Linked DNA regions of Elephas maximus indicus. The protein of the gene in region 1 binds, or shares a complex with, the protein of each later gene. Links are inferred from orthologs where the notes say so. Each region holds a gene or a part of one and is shown on either strand. Other genes may lie near its edges.

Evidence for each region.
Region 2: DDX46 (region 1) and SF3A2 share a complex: the UniProt entries of both Homo sapiens proteins name them as parts of the 17S U2 SnRNP complex. The link is inferred for Elephas maximus indicus from reciprocal best matches to the Homo sapiens genes DDX46 and SF3A2.

What each region holds. Positions count from the first base shown.
Region 1 is NC_064820.1:147,205,190-147,213,263, forward strand, and holds the start of DDX46 (probable ATP-dependent RNA helicase DDX46), read left to right. Parts: upstream 1-4,907; 5' UTR 4,908-5,136; coding exon 5,137-5,153; intron 5,154-6,585; coding exon 6,586-6,774; intron 6,775-8,074. UniProt on the Homo sapiens protein: Component of the 17S U2 SnRNP complex of the spliceosome, a large ribonucleoprotein complex that removes introns from transcribed pre-mRNAs.
Region 2 is NC_064821.1:2,910,715-2,918,735, forward strand, and holds the start of SF3A2 (splicing factor 3A subunit 2), read left to right. Parts: upstream 1-4,847; 5' UTR 4,848-4,932; intron 4,933-8,021. UniProt on the Homo sapiens protein: Component of the 17S U2 SnRNP complex of the spliceosome, a large ribonucleoprotein complex that removes introns from transcribed pre-mRNAs.

The DNA of each region.
Region 1 (8,074 bases):
CATGATGTCAGGGAAGTTTTCTGCCAACAGATCTTCAACTATTCTCTCTGTATTTTCTGTTATCCCTCCCTGTTCTCAAACTCCAATCACACGCAAGTTATTCTTCTTGATAGAGTCCCACATGAGTCTTAGGGTTTCTTCATTTTTTTTAATTCTTTTATCTGATTTTTCTTGAACTATATTGGCGTCAATTGCCTTATGCTCCACCTCCCCCACTCTGCATTCCAATTGCTTGGTCTGCTCCTGTGACTTCCTACTGAGTTGTCTAATTCTGTAATTTTACTGTTAATCTTTTGGATTTCTGAATGCTGTCTGTCTGTGGATTCTTGCAGCTTATTAATTTTTCCACTATGTTCTTGAATAATCTTTTTGATTTCTTCAACTGGTTTATCAGCGTGTTCCTTCGCTTTTTCTGTAAATTGCCTTATTTCATTTCTGAGGTCATCCCTGATTCTTGAAGCATTCTGTAAATTAGTTTTTTATATTCTGCATCTGGCAATTCCAGGATTGTATCTTCATTTGGGAAAGATTTTGATTCTTTAATTTGGGGAGTTGTAAAAAAAATTTTTTTTTTTTTTAGAAGCAATCATGGTCCGCTTCTTTATGTGGCTTGATATCGACTGCTGTCTCCGAGCCATCTCTAAGATATTGTAATGATTTATTTTATATTTGCTCACTGAGTCTTATCTTGTTTTGTTTTCTTTCAATATACGTAGATGGGCTACTAGATTGCGCTGTCTTGATTATTGTAGCCTTTGAATCACTTATGTCCTATTACCAGCTGGTTTGGGTTGTTAGCAGATATATAAGCCTAAGAGTCCATTCACTATTCTTGAGTAGAATCTGATTTTGGGTTACCAATTGTGTGGTGTAGACTATCACCTATTCACTTAAAGGAGTAGTGGTGATAGTCGTGTGCACCAGATCCTAGTAGCGGCAGGGGGTCACACTCCAGGGGGGGCAGGATGCTGACAGGCTTCCCCCAAGTGCCATTGAGGTAGGTGTGTCTCTATTCCTAAAGCACTTTGGTGGGTGTGCTCTGCAGCTGTACCTTAGGCACCCAATGCATATACCTCTACAGATTGGGAGGTGTCACTATCCTCAGACCCCTATGGCAGGAGGCTAGGTGGTTTGGGTGGAGCTTCAGCCCTCAGTTCCCCATTGTGGGTCAGTGAAGGCTCTGTTTAATAGGTAGAGATATCAGACCAGGGAAACTTGTCTTTCCAGTAATGGGATAAAACAATTACAGTCAGATCACTATCAGAATTGCCTTTGCATTATAATAGCCACCTTGTTGCCTGTGGGGATGAAAGCCCTAGATCGTGGATCTCATATGCTTGGCTGGAGCTGGTTCTGTGTTTTTATTCCAATTTCAGGAAGTCAGGGAAGGATTTTTGGTCCCTGTTTTTTTTGTAGCTGCTTCTCTCAGGCCAGGAGAATAGGTTAGGAAAAGACAACAAAACAAAAAATTGCAGAGCACTTCACTCTCTGGCCCAGGAAATTCCAATGTTAATGAAGTGGCCTGGGAAGAAGATGGGAGGGATCAGATAGATAGGAGAGAGTAGCACCCAGGAATATAGACCAAGTTACTTATCTTACTTAGTGATGACTGTTTTATCTGAGATTCCGGAGGGGTGTATAGCCTGTGTGTGTTGGCTGGCTGGGTCGAGATTGTCCCAGAGGGTCAGGCCGGTGTCCTGTGCTTGTGCTGTCTCAGAAGCCGTGGTCAGTTCCTCTGCTTCCAGTGCAAAGCCCAGCGCCAAGTTTCCCCAGCTGGGACGACACACTCCAGGCTCCAAAACCAGTCGCTACCTCCCGGTGACTTCTCCTGTCAGCCACGTTGCTGCGCTGCCTGCGTGCACTGGCTGGGCTTCCCCCGAGGTCATTTCTGGGGGCTAGGGCTGCGTCCCGTGTTCGCACCGTCTCAGGATGCCGTGCTAAGCTCTGCTGCGCCCAGTACAAAGCCCAGCGCCAAGGTTTCCTGACTGGGATGCTGGCTCTTGGCTCCGAAAACAGTCTCTGCTTGCTGGTGGTTGCTGGTTCTCTCGTTAGCCGTTGTCAGTGTGCAGCCTGCTTGCGCTGGCTGAGTCTGTCACTCAGGTCAACTCTTTAGATCTGTGTTTGACAGTCAGGGCTTGTAGATTGTCATGTATGTGATCTATTCACTTGCTTTTCTGAGTCTTTGTTGCAAGAGGGATCCTAGGTAGCTTCTACCTAGTCAGCCATCTTGGCCCCGCCTCTTGAAATGTTTTTTGATGATGAATGCAATGCCATTCTTCTTCAAGTTGTCATTCCCAGCGTAGTAGACCATATGATTGTTTGGTTCAAAATGGCCAATACCAGTCCATTTCAGCTCACTAATGCCTAGGCTATTGATGTTAATGAGTTCCATTTCATTTTTGACAACTTCTAATTTTCCTAGATTCATACTTCATAATTCCACGTCCTCATTATTAATGGATGTTCGCAGCTGTTTCTTCTCATTTTGAGTCATGTCACTTCAGCAAATGAAGGTTCCAAAAGCTTGACTCCATCTACATCATTAAGATCAACTACTTTGAAGAGGCAGCTCTGTCCCTTTCACATTTTGAGTGCTTTCCAACCCGAGGGTCTCATCTTCCAGCACGATATGAGACAATGTTCTGCTCTTATTCAAAGGTTTTCACTGGCTAATTCTTTTGAATTTAGCTGGGTCCTTCTTCCTACTTTGTGTTAGTCTGAAAGCTCAGCTGAAACCTGTATGCCATAAGTGGCCCTGTTGGTGTTGAATACTGGTGGCATAGCTTCCAGCATCATGGTGACATGCAAGCCCCCACCATAGGACAAACTGACAGACATATGGGGGACAATCCACAGTAGCTATTGCCAAAAACTGGGAGTCATCTTTATTCCTCCTTTTCCCTCACAGTATACATTCAGTTTATTACGTAGTGTTTTGAGAGCTGCCTCCAGAATATATCCAAAATCTGACCACTTTTCTCTGTCTTTATAGTTTAAGTCAATAGTGGTTTCCTTTTGCTCTTAGACTGAATCCACACTCCTTACCTTCAGTCCACATCCAAGCAATTGTAAACTGTTTCAACTTACAATGTCTCTGATAACCTGACACTCCTTAGTTTCCATCTTGTCACACAATAGTGCAGGCCTTCCTCATCCTTGTCACGGACTGCCAGACCTTCCAGATTCTTCTCACTGTTGCCGGAGATAAGCACTATGCCACGAAGGAAGAGCAGAAACTCATTTTGGAATCTTACCTGTTGGTGTCTTGTTATTTTTAATCACCTTTATTGAGGTAAAATTTACATACTACAAGGTGCACCAATTTCAAGTGAATGAATTTTTACAAGGGAACATATCGATACAACTGATGCCAGAATTATGATACAGAATGTTTCTGTCATTCTTAGGTGTAAGAAAGTATAATAGCCCAGACTCATAAAGCAAGGGACTCTTCCTTAGGGACTCTATGACAGTTTTCTACAGAAACAACTGTTAGTAACAGGTCAGTTTCCTCTAGGCCAGTCATCTTCTACCTTGACTGTACTTTATAATCAACTGTGAAGCTTAAACATTCCCAACGCACAAGAAGCAACTTGGACCAATTACATCAAAATATTGGGATGGATCCCCGGCATCCACACTTTTAAAAAATCTTCTTAGTGCAGCAAATGTTGAGAACCTTTATCATCTTTTGCTAATGTACTTTTCAGCATCTTCTCCTTCAGATCTCACCTCATAGAACACTTCTAAGACATAGGTCCCCAGGTTTCGGAAAATTCCACCACCTGAAGCAGCTTGCTGGCATGCCCATAACCTTACATTAAAATCCTGGTTCCCCTCTTCTTAACAGCTACCCCAAACTAGAAGAGATTGGTGGAAACTGGTTTAGGAGCCATGTTGACATTCAGGATAATCTTTTAGACCCCATACATACTAACTCCTCTGGATGGAGTTTAACCGCCATTTTCTGACGATGCCATGGATGAAGTTATATGCAAACCCCATTGTGCTAGCATAGTATGATTAAAAATGTTGTTGATAGAACTTGTATGAGCTTCCTACTTGTAACCCCCTGAAAAATAACCCTCCCCTCGCCCTCGCTGAGCAGTCTCCGTGGCAGCAACCTGACTCTTCCTTTCCTTGAGCAACCAAATAAAGGCTCCTTTCTACTCTTTCACTTTGGCCTCTCTTTATTGGCTGAGGTGAGTGGTGACAAGCAGAACCTGGGGCTTCTACCGTGCACAATTTCCACAGAGAATTCTTTCCCTGAATCTCTCTTCTATATTAGGTCTTTCCTTGCTGTTACTACCTTTGCTTGTGTTTTTAGTAATGTCTGTTGCCCCACTAGACCATAAGCTCTCCATGTCTGGCACATAATAATACATGTAAATAAATGAATGCATGTGTAAATGGGAAACCCTGGTGGCGTAGTGGTTATGTACTACAGCTGCTAACCAAGAGGTCGGCAGTTGGAATCCGCCAGGCGCTCCTTGGAAACTATGTGGGACAGTTCTACCCTGTCCTATAGGGTTGCTATGAGTCGGAATCGACTCGACGGCAGTGGGTTTGGTTTTTTGGTTTATGTATAAATGAATGATTGTAACATTGTTTTAAAAAAAACCCAGGGCCGTCGAGTCGATTCTGACTCATAGCGACCCTATAACATTGTTTAGCGTGCAGTAAAAACGGGACGATGCAGGACCCGGCAGTGTTCTGTTCTGTTGTAAATAGGGTCGCTATGGGACCTGGGTGTCAGGGACTATGTAGGGAAAACCCAACCCAGCCATTTCTTTTCGGCGCAGCCGGTGCTGTCCCGCCTCCAAGCGAGAGGCGGCGCTGTGGAGATGCAGCAGTTTCCGGCCGGCTTTTCCTTTCCTTCTGCCGCCGGCGCCGGAACTTCCTGCTTTCGTTGGCCGCTCTGGGATGGCCGCCCCCACAGTAGCTGTTGCTATCTCTTAGTGGTGCCGGAACTTCCTGCTTTCGTTGGCCGCGCTGGGATGGCCGCCACCACAGTAGCTGTTGCTAGCTCTTAGTGGTGGCCCTTGCCCGGCTCGCCGACGGCAGTGCAGCTAGCCCTTTTGTTCTCTTCTCCATCGCGCTGTCCCGAAGGGCGTCGGCTTTCCCGCAGCGAGCAGTATGGGCCGGGAGTCACGGTGAGGCAACGCGCCCAGCGGGGGTGCGGGCGAGTGGCTTCTTCGGTGGAGGGAAGAGGCGGGAGTTGAGGTGGCCAAGGGGCCAGGTCTGGTCCAGCGCGGCCCCACGTGCGGCCGGCGCGGTCCCGCGGCTGCTGGTGGGGCTCGGGGCCCTCGGCTGAGGGAATGGCTGTACTTGATCTGGCTACGGGCACAGGAGTCTCCTGCATTATCGTCAGCCGATTCGAGCCCCTGGAACGGGAACAGCCCTCCCGGGTCGACTATGATTGAGCGCCACTTTCACGCAACCAACCTTGATCATTTCAGTCAGTAGTGATCCCTACTGCTTAGGGTTTGCAACATTTCCTAAGCGCCCTTCAGTCTGTATATTCGTTCTCTGTGCGTGTGTGATATTTTCCAAGTCAGTTGCAAGGAGCATGTGCACATTTTTACATAACCTACAACACCGTATAAGACTAAGCTTTAATTGAGCCACAATAAGTACATGTTACATGGGCATTTATTCTGAAAATAGGTTTCATATTTCTCTGTTACCTGGTTTCAAACTTTTTGAAACCGAAGATTGAGAGATCTTGTTAGGACTGTGAGATCTCTTCAGAACTTTAGATTGTTCATAACTGGTTCAGCACCTTGAGATTTTTATCTTAAAGATGACTGTTTGCAATGTGTTTAGCAGTGATTGAAAGAGCTTTTATTTCTAGGGACCATGAGGAGTTTTTTTAAAAATGTTAACTGTACTTTATTGGGGTATAATTATCATTCAGGGAAATATACAAAGCTTAAGGGTAGAGCTTGATGAAATTTAGCAAATATATAAACCATGTAATCATCGCCTGGGTAAGAACAATGTCACTCTGGCCGCCTTGACTTTTTTGCTATTCCTTGAGCACACCAATTAAGCTTCCTCTTCAGGATCTTTGCGCTTACAGTGCCTTTTGCTTTGAAAGTTCTTCTGCCATATATCTGTATGGTTCCTCCTGTTACTTCCTTCAAAGCCTGCATAACAAATGTTACTTTATTATGGAGGCCTTCCGTAACCACCTGATTTAAAATTGCAAACCTCTCAAGTCACATTATCTTTCCTTTTCCTTTACTCCGATCTATTTTTCTTCATAGCAACACTTGACATATTGTACGTTTATTTCTTTACGTGTCTATTAACTCTTCCTCCACCAAATATAAGCAGCCTGTAGCCCAAAGGCAGAGGCTTGGTCTGTTTTCTTCACTTTCCTTGCTTCTCTTTCAACAGTTTTCCTCCTCTCAACATGTGATGTAGCAAAAAGGTTCATTCTTTACCCCCAATTTAAAAAAGGATTGTGAAAAGAATCTTTTCAGTTTTTAATATGTCTGCTGCTATTTTGGAGGGAAATGTAATAAAATAAAATAGACTCTGTGTGAGCTAAGCTTAATATTTGAAGTAATAATATTCTAGCCACTATCGGAAGCGATCAGCATCACGTGGACGCTCTGGAAGTCGATCTAGAAGTCGTTCTCCCTCTGACAAAAGAAGTAAACGTGGAGATGACAGACGGTCTAGAAGTAGAGATAGAGATAGAAGGAGAGAGAGATCTCGTAGCAGGGATAAAAGAAGATCTCGGTCAAGAGACAGGAAGCGTCTGAGGTAAGACATAAATCTCTAAAAAACTGATGATAAATTAAGCTTCTCCAAAAGTGTGTTTTGGGCTAGAATTTAGTAGCTCCTTTGTAGACCCTCTGCTTTAACCCCAGGTTATTTGATTAGACATAGAAGTAATTCAGCTAGACCAAAAATTCTCAGACAGTATTTTAAGTTCGGAAACATCAGGCTGTCTCCTCTCACCCAGAGAGAGCCCTTAAAGGCCCCTGAGAGAGGGGGAAAAAAAAAATAAGGAGAAGGTAAGGTAATATGACTAGAGGATTCAATTTTAATTATATCCCAGCAGAACTGGAAACTGTTCAGAGCAGCCACTAAACCAGGCAGGAGAAAGAAACAGAGGGCAGAGCCATTTCCAAACCCTGCTTGTTATCTTAAAACATTTTAAATAACTCTTAGATTTAAACCAAAGAATGCCTTAATTTTAATTGTCCTTTTACTTGTTGACATGCTCGCTGGCACCAGTTAAGCAGCCTTAAATTTTTCTAGAAGTGAACATCAGTTTAAGTAAAAGTACTCTACCCTACACCAAAGATAACTTTTCTAAAACAGTTTCTCATTAAATCAGAAGGGAAAAAAAGGCAAGTTTGTACAGGTGCTATGAACTAATGACAGAAAGAACCTTGACTTTATCTTTTTCAAACATTTGGAGAAGAGAGTGCAAAGGTAGTACATGGCACTTAGGGAAAATATTCACCCGTGAGAACGTGGTTAATGCTAACTAATTCAGTTTTATATTTGGTCCCAGGAACAGTGTCATACAGTTCAGTCAAGTACACATTAAGTGAAATTGATCATTTAAGATTTGATTTTTGACTTCCTTCTGTGAAGGTTGAATAATGAGATTTTAGGTAAAGAAGGATTTTGAGATGATATAGCGAAGTCATGGTATTTTATAGATGAGGAAGCCAGTACCCAGAGAGATAGCAGAGTCTGCCCTATGTCATGTCGCTAGTTAGTAGCAATGGGTTTTTAAATCTTCAGATCAAGTAGCCCTGGTGGTGGAATGGTTAAGTGCTTGGCTACTAACTGAAAGGTTGCAGTTTGAACCTACGAGCTGCTCCGCGGGAGGAAAGACCTGACAATTTGCTCCTGTAAAGATTATAGCGTAGGAAACCCTATGGGGCAGTTCTACTCTATCCTATAGGGTCACTATGATTCAAAATCGACAGCACACAACAACAACAATGACAATCTTTAGATCAGTGATCTTATCCCAGCTCCATCCTGCCCATCCTTAGGTTTAGGCTGTCTTTGAAAATTATATTTTTTACTCTAGGCTTTAAAG
Region 2 (8,021 bases), on another chromosome or scaffold:
TCGCCAGCTGCAGTCTGCAAAGAAGCAAAGGAGTCAGAGGTCAGCATGACATCATCAATATTGTGGAATACGGCCACCTCAGCAGGGGGAATCCACTGCTCGAGGTCAGTGGCAACCATGCCATGGCATATGGTAGGGCTATGCAGGTACCCTTGTGGCAGCACAGTGAAGGCCCACTGCCTCGCCTCACAACTGAAGGCAAACTGGTCCTGTCTGTCTGGGTGTAGAAGGATGCTAAGAAAGCATTAGCCAAATCAAGCACAAAGTGGTAAGTGCCCAACGCCTGCCCCATTTGCCCCATCATCTCTGCGCTGTTGAGTACAGCTGCAAACAAGGGGGAGTCACCGTATTCAATTCCCAGTAGTTTACCATCATTCTCCAGGAGCTGTCCGGCTTGTGCATCGGCCAGACAGGACTATCGAAGGGGCTCTTGGCTGGTCTCAGAATCCCCACTGGGTGTAGCACCTGGCCTCAGTGATTTCTCAGTGTCTGCAAGGGAGGCAGTACTGCTTAAGGGCCATGACCAGAGCTGGGGAGTGCAACTGCACAGGGAACCATTTAGCATTACCTTGTACTACAGGTTTTATGGCTCTCACTTGCAGGTAGAACTCACCGGAGGTCTGCAGCTCCAGCCTCAACAAGGTATCTCTGCCCAGAACGTATTCCAGTATTGGGGCTCTGTATACTTGGTAGACCTTTAGGGGTAGCCTTCCAATCTGCAGCACTAGTTTAATTTGGCACACCCTGACAGCCCCACCCCTGTACGCATCAATAGGTGTTAGTGGCCCTTTAAACCTACCTGGGTTATCATACATCAGGATGCACTTTGCTCCAGTGTCTACCAGAGCCAGAACATGTTCGTTAGTGGGGGTCCAGAGTATGATCATTTCAGTGTGTGGCCTCTGGCCCCCTGTCACCCAGCAGATGGTTTCCCGCACCTGTGGTGCACCTTGGCCACACCTCTAGTCTAGGGGTGAGGGAAATTCCCACCCCTTGGCAGAGGGAGCCATAGGATTGGCCTCCTCTTGTGGGCTCTGGTCAGTGCCTTTGTGGAACCCAGATCTTTTGTCAGGAACAATTTTACACCAAAGACGCACATTTTATAGAATAGATAGTTTGATCAAACATACGGCACAAATAAGAAATGCCCTTGCAGGGAACTGCTGCACTGAGACCCCAGACTGCTTGTCTGAGATGCATGGTCCAGGCTGGGGTTGTCTCGTCCCCTCCCATCAGCCATTTAAACCTGTCCATTGAAGTGCTCCTTTGCCCCTACGTCTTGGGGTGATAAAGAGTGTGACGAGTTCATTGAAGATCCAGTGGAAGCCTCTATATGGGATAAAATGCCCTGATATGACTTGCCTGCTGAGAACACCCTGGCCTGTTGGCTCGGGAATCTGTCCCTGCACAGGTTTAGTCTTGGCCAGGGTCTTGTAGGCAGGTCAGATTTTCTGTGTTGTCCAGCGTTTTCTGATGGCAGTGGCAGTCCATGTATGTAGGCCCCGTCTAGGATGGTGTGTGAATCTCCATGGATGGTTCTCTCTTACATCCAGGAGGTGGTTGACTGCACATCTCTTCACCCGGGAGCAGACAATGCTTCAGCCTCTGCAGTCAGCTGGTAAGACCGGTCTGCTCGTTGGCTGTTTTCCACTCTCAGCACAGGGGCTTTTCTGATGACTATCCACACAAGTAACAAAAGTTTCTCAGGAGCAGGACTGCTTTTGTTATTTATTTCGTCCAGATGTCTCATCTCTGTAGGGGATTGCTTTATATGTCAGTCCGAGGGTTTTCAGTGGCCAGATTGAATGGCCAGGCTGTTAGCTATAGCCCATGTCACAGTTTCCTCGTGCCCCTCTAAAAATGGCCCTAACTGCAGCAATTCCCATCAGGACTTGGAGGCAAAAGTCTACAAAGGTGTGCATTAATACATCGACATCATCAGTACATGCAGTAAGGATTTGTAGGGGCTCCAAGGGACTTCTCCATAGTCAGGCTGGGGTAAGTGTCTCAGTGAGAGTGACCTCAGACCCAAAGTATACCTCACTGGACTTTAATTTTAACACAAGGCCTTTGCTCCTCGTTGGTAACAAAGGAATTAGGCTTAATCCTCAATCTTAATTATTTCTGAAAGATCTGGGAAAAGTTGGCAGAGCCCTCACTCATTTATGGGGCCACACCTCCATCACACCAAGTGCAAGCATGGGTCCAGCCCAGTTACCTGGTAACCTGGAGGTGGGCCCCCTCTTTTAGTTTTCCCCTTACTATTGCAGTTACAGCTAGGTTGCTGTTCAGTTACCTTGGTGGGGGCAGCTGTCAGAGAATTCTGAGGTCTCTTCAAGGTCGCTCAACACAAGCTATCCTGACGGGCTTTTTACTCCTGTTTTTTCTTTTTTCCCTGCTGTTTTAACTCTTGCTTTGCACTGGGTGTTACAGGGCGTTCTCAGCGCCAGAGACCTGTTTATCCCCTCCAAGTAGCTCCAGTCCCATGCTCTACCGATTGAGCTAGCCAGGCTTGGCTGGCCACCCCAGGATTTCTCCCACAGAAAAGCATACGGGCCAGACCTCCCCACATAGAGGTCGTTGGCCACCCCAGGATGTCCCCCGAAAATGCCTCTTGCTTCTGCAAACGGGGCACTAATGTTTCAGTGGAGGAGGAGTATGCTGCCCGCAAACCCTCCAGTTGCAGCTCTGCTTCCAGCTGCCTAGTTAGGGCCCTAGCGGCTGGCTCGGGATCGGACGCCCCTCTCAGCGCTGCCAGTAGAAGCCACCCCACACAAGCCGCCTCAGCATGGCCATCTGGCTTTCGCTTTGGGGACTCCAGCTGACACAGCATATCTTCAATGCCCTTAGGCATTTTTGGAGCGTCCCCGTACTCATGCGGTGGGATCCAGGTATCCATAGCCACGACCCCCCCTCCCCGCCACATATATGGAGGACAGGGGCCATCCAGGGATTCCTACCATCAAGGTCCCTCTCCCTGCCATATGTCCAGCACTCATGGAGGTTTCCTCAGTCTCCTGGCTGGCTTGCCAATTGTTGGATAACAACCCAATGGTACCTGAACCCAAGGTTAGCTGCATCTCCAAGAGACCTAGGAAAGACTCTGGAACCAGTGATCATGACATATGTATGGTTTATTTGGGAAGCTTACTTATGGGACCGTGGTTCAGGGCGGCAGCTGGACCAGTTAAGCACCCCGCAACCACCTAGCAAGGGACGGCAGCTGGCCCAGTTCAGTGCTCTGCAACCACCTAGCAAGGAACCCAACCTTATGTACCACTCCAGCTAGGACCAAGGCTCGTTGTTTTTCTCCCACGTTCTTGGGCAGTCTGTGTTCCCAGGGACTTCACGCCCAGGCCCAGATGTTTTCCTTCCTGTTGCTAAGGCATTCCTCATGCTTGGCCGCTGGCCCAGTCATGCCACTCCCACCGTTGTACCTTAGCCTGAGTCCATCCTGAATTCATCCCCAGCATGCTTCGGGGAAGAGCAAAGCTGATTCCATTAGGAGGTATGCATATAGCTGAATAGCATTACCTTACAGCCTTCCATTTTCTTTTGATGGTTCCTGAGTTGTTCAGTGTTTTGCCTACAGTATCCTTCAAGAGAAGCAGATGGTGTGACTTCGTCTCACATTCTTCAAGGATGATATCAGGAGGGACCAGTCCCCAGAGAAGGATATCACGCATGGTAGAGGGTCAGCAAAAAAGAGGAAGACCCTCAACCACATGGAGTGACACAGTGGCTGCAATAATGGGCTCAAGCATAACGACAATCTTTTAATATTCCAACTCAAGGCTTGAATTTTCTCTTCAATTCTTTCAGCTTGAGAAATGCCCAGCATGTTCTTCCCCTAGGTTTTTGCACATTTCATTGTAGTACTTTGCTTTCTCAATCTGACCTTCGAAATCATCTGTTCAGCTCTTTTACTTCATCATTTCTTCCTTTGTCTTTAGCTAGTCCATTCTAGAGAAAACTTCAGAGTCTGTTCTCACATCCATTTTGGTCTTCACTTTCTCTCTTATCTTTTTAGTGACCTCTTGCTTTCTTCATGTAGGACTTCGTTGATGTCGTCCCACAACTCATCTGGACTTTGATCATTAGTGTTCAACACATCAGACCTATTCTTGAGATGGTCTCTACATGCAGATGGAGTGTAAGGAAGGTCATACTCTCATAGGACTTGTTCTAATTTTCTTCACCTTCAACTTGAACTTGCATAGGGGCAATTGGTGGTGTTTTACAGTCCTGGCCTTGTTCTGACTGATGATATTGAGCTTTTCCATCATCTGTTTCCACCACAGATGTAGTCAATTTGAATCCTTTGTATTCGCAGTGGTTAAGCAGTTGGATTCCACCAGCGGCTCTACAAGAGAAAGATGTGGCAGTGTGCTTCGGTAAAGATTACAGCCTTGGAAACCCCTGGGGCAGTTCTACTCAGTCCTGTAGGGTTGATATGAGTCAGGATTAACTAGTTGTCAACGGTGTTTGCTTTAAAGCTTTTGTTTATGGAGGATAAAGAGACAGAGACCCCAAATCCAAAGCCAAGTCCCGGACGCGCCCACCACTGGGCGGAGCCCTCTGCCTCCGCGCCGGCACCCCGCCCCTCCCGCCGAGAGCTCAGCGCAGGAAGCGGAAGTGCGCGTGCGCGGCCGGCAGCCATGATTCGCGGTCGGCCGGCTGGGGCGTGAGGTACGTCTGTGGCGCCGCCGGCGTCCGGCCTGGCCCGGTACCAGGTCCGCGGGGGGGGCCCGCTGGGGTTCCGGATGGTGCCGGGCCGCGGGGCCTCCGTAGCCGGACTTGGCCTGCAGCCTCCCGCTGCCGGCGCTGCCTCTTCTCCGGGGCCTGGGCCTCGGCCGGCGGCGCAGCGAAGCGGCCGCTGTGCTCTCCCAGCCCGGCTGAGGAGTCCCGCGCCCGCCGCGTCGGGACGGCCAGGTAGGGGGGCGAGGCCTAGGTGTGTCGGGGCGTTAATAGGTGAGGCCGTGCGTGGGCGGAGACCAGGGGTGTCCGCGTCGCCGGGAGTCTGTGAGGAATGCGGGGTGACAGGCCCGGGGAGTTAGCCTGTGCGCGCCCCGCTGCCGCCGCCTGAGTGCGCCCCGCACCGGGCTCCGTCGTCCGCCTGCGTCCCCGCCGGCAAGGACTGTTGGGAAGCTCTTGGGGGTTCTCAAGGAAGCGAGGTTGTTGGGAGGCGTCTCCCCCTCCCCTGGTTTGTTAACGGGCTCTGGTGGCGCAGTGGTTACGCGCTCGTCTGCTAACTGAAAGGTCACCAGTTCTAAACCACCACCCTTTGAGCAGAGGAAAGATGGGGCAATCTGTTTCTGTCAAGATTACAGTCTTGGAAACTGTGTGGGGCAGTTGTATCCTACCAGATAGGTTTGCTGTGAGTCAGGATTGACTCCATGGCAGGGGTTTGATTTTTTAATTTTATAGGATTTTGGCATAGATAAAGTAGTAAGAAACACGAATAGAACTAGCAAGTTCATTGTGGACCATAGTTACTCCACTTTAGGTGGAAAATATTTATTGGTGGTGGTGTTAGATGCCGTCGAGTCAATTCTCACTCATACGACCCTATGTACAACAGAACAAAACCCTGCCCAATACTGTGTCATTCTGACAGTCGTCATACTTGAGGCCATTGTTGCAACCACTGTGTAAATCCATCTCATGGAGGGTCTTCCTCTTTTTCTCAGACCCTCTGCTTTACCAAGGAAACCCTGGTAACAGTGGTTAAGAGCTATGGGTGCTAACGAAAAAGGTCGGCAGTTTGAATCCACCAGGCGCTCCTTGGAAACTCTATGGGGCAGTTCTACTCTGTCCTGTAGGGTTGCTATGAGTCGGGATCAGGTTTGGTTTTGGTTTTCTGCTTTACCAAGCATGATGTCGTCTAGTGACTGATCCCTCCTGATAACGTGTCCAAAGTATGTGAGAGGTAGTCTTGCCATCCTTCCTTCTGAAGCACATTCTGGTTGTACTTCTTCCAAGACAGATTTGTTCTTTTGGCTCTCCATGGTGTATTCAGTATCACCAACACAACTCAAAGGCATTGATTATCGTTCTACAGTCTTTGTTATTCACTTACCAGGTTTTGCACGCATATGAAGCAATTGAAAAAACCATGGCTTGGGTCAGGCACACTTTAGTCTTCAAGGTGACATCTTTGTTTTTTTAACAATTTAAAAAGGTCTTCTGCAGCAGATTTTCCTAATGCAGTGTCTTTTGATTTCTTGACAGCCGCTTCTATGGATGTTGATTGTGGACTCAAGTAAAATGAAGTCTTTGACAACTTCAGTCTTTTCTCTATTTATCATGATATTTCCTATAGTCCAGATGTAAGGATTTTTGTTTTCTTTATGTTGAGGTGTAATTCATACTGAAGGCTATGATATTTGGTCTTCATCAGTTTAAGTGCTTCAAGTCGTCTTCACTTTCAGCAAACAAGGTTGTGTCATGTGCATAATGCAGGTTGTTAATAAATCTTCCTCCAATCCTGATGCAATGTCATTCCTCTTCAATTTGTCATTCCCGGCATTGTTAAAGTTTCAAGTTTAGGTTTTGCTTTTGTGAATAGTGCTGCTCTGTTCATTCTTTTTCCGTGCTCTAAATGCACAGTAACTTCCAACTGAGGGAAAACGGCTGAGTTGCAGATCATAGCCAAATTTAAATTGATCAGGAAATTACAGTGTTCTCTACCCATTTTCCCTTCCACAAAATAAGCATATGTATTTTATCTGTTCCATTTGTTTTGGCCAACATGGGGATTCTCAAATATATTAAATTATGCTTTGTAAAGCTTATGAAATCGTATGTTACTTTGAGTTTATTCTGCAGTGATCTTGCACTACTGCAATAGTGACAAGGCTGTGCGTGTTTTCCCACTGTAAATTTGCCATTCTGTGACTTTTTAGGGCTTCGTTATAGAGTTTGGAAAAATATAGTTTCATTGGAAAATTTTTCCCTAGTATGTAACTTATGGTCTTCACTCATTTTTTGCTTCCTTCGATAGAGTCCTAAATTTTAATATAATTGAATTTTCAATCTCTTCCTTTGTGTCTTTTTTTTTCCTCTCTCTACTAATGTCATGAAATTGTGCTTATAATTTCTGAACGTGTTATTTTACATTTTGACATTTAAAGTTAATCTACTTGGAATTTATTTTTGCATGTGGAGTATGGAGGAATACATTCATTGTTCCAGTTAGATAATTAGTTGACTCTACCCCACATATTAAAGTGCCTGAAGTTTCTGGCAGTGCCCTGTAGTGTGCTTCCTCTGTGATTAGACAATTCTTCATATAAGTTGGTGAGCCTGTTCCAGGGCTATGTATTTTTTTCCAATGGATCTATTTGTGTATTCCTATACTGATCCTCCACCACTCATATGAGGGTTTGTCGTACGGTGGTGGCTTGCATGTTGCTGTGATGCTGGCAGCTATTCCACTGATATTTCAAATGCCAGGAGTGTCACCCATGGGGGACAGGTTTCGGGGAGCTTCCAGACTAAGACAGACTAGAAGAAGGAACTGGTAATATACTTTTGAAAAAATCTGGCCAGTGAAAACCTTATAGAACATTGTATAATATACTGCCAGAAAATGAGCCCCTCAGATTGGAGAGCACTCAAAACATGACTTGAGAAGAGCTGACTCCTCAAAGTAGAGTCGACCTTAATGGGGACACTAATTTGCTGATGTGTCAAAACCGAAAATGAAAAGAAACAGCTACAGGCAGCCATTAATAATTAGAATGTGCAATGTATGAAGTATGAATCTAGGAAAATTGGAAGTCGTCAAAAATGAAATGCATAAAGATCGATATCATATGTGTTAGTGAGCGGAAATGGACCAGTATTGGTATTTTTAAGTCAGACAATCACGTGGTCTGCCATGCTGAGAATGACAAAATGAAGAATAACGTCACATTCTTCAAAAAGAACATTTCAAGATCTATCCTGAAATACAACACTGTCAGTGATAGAATAATATCCATACGCCTAAAAGGAAGAGCAGTTAATATTACTATTAT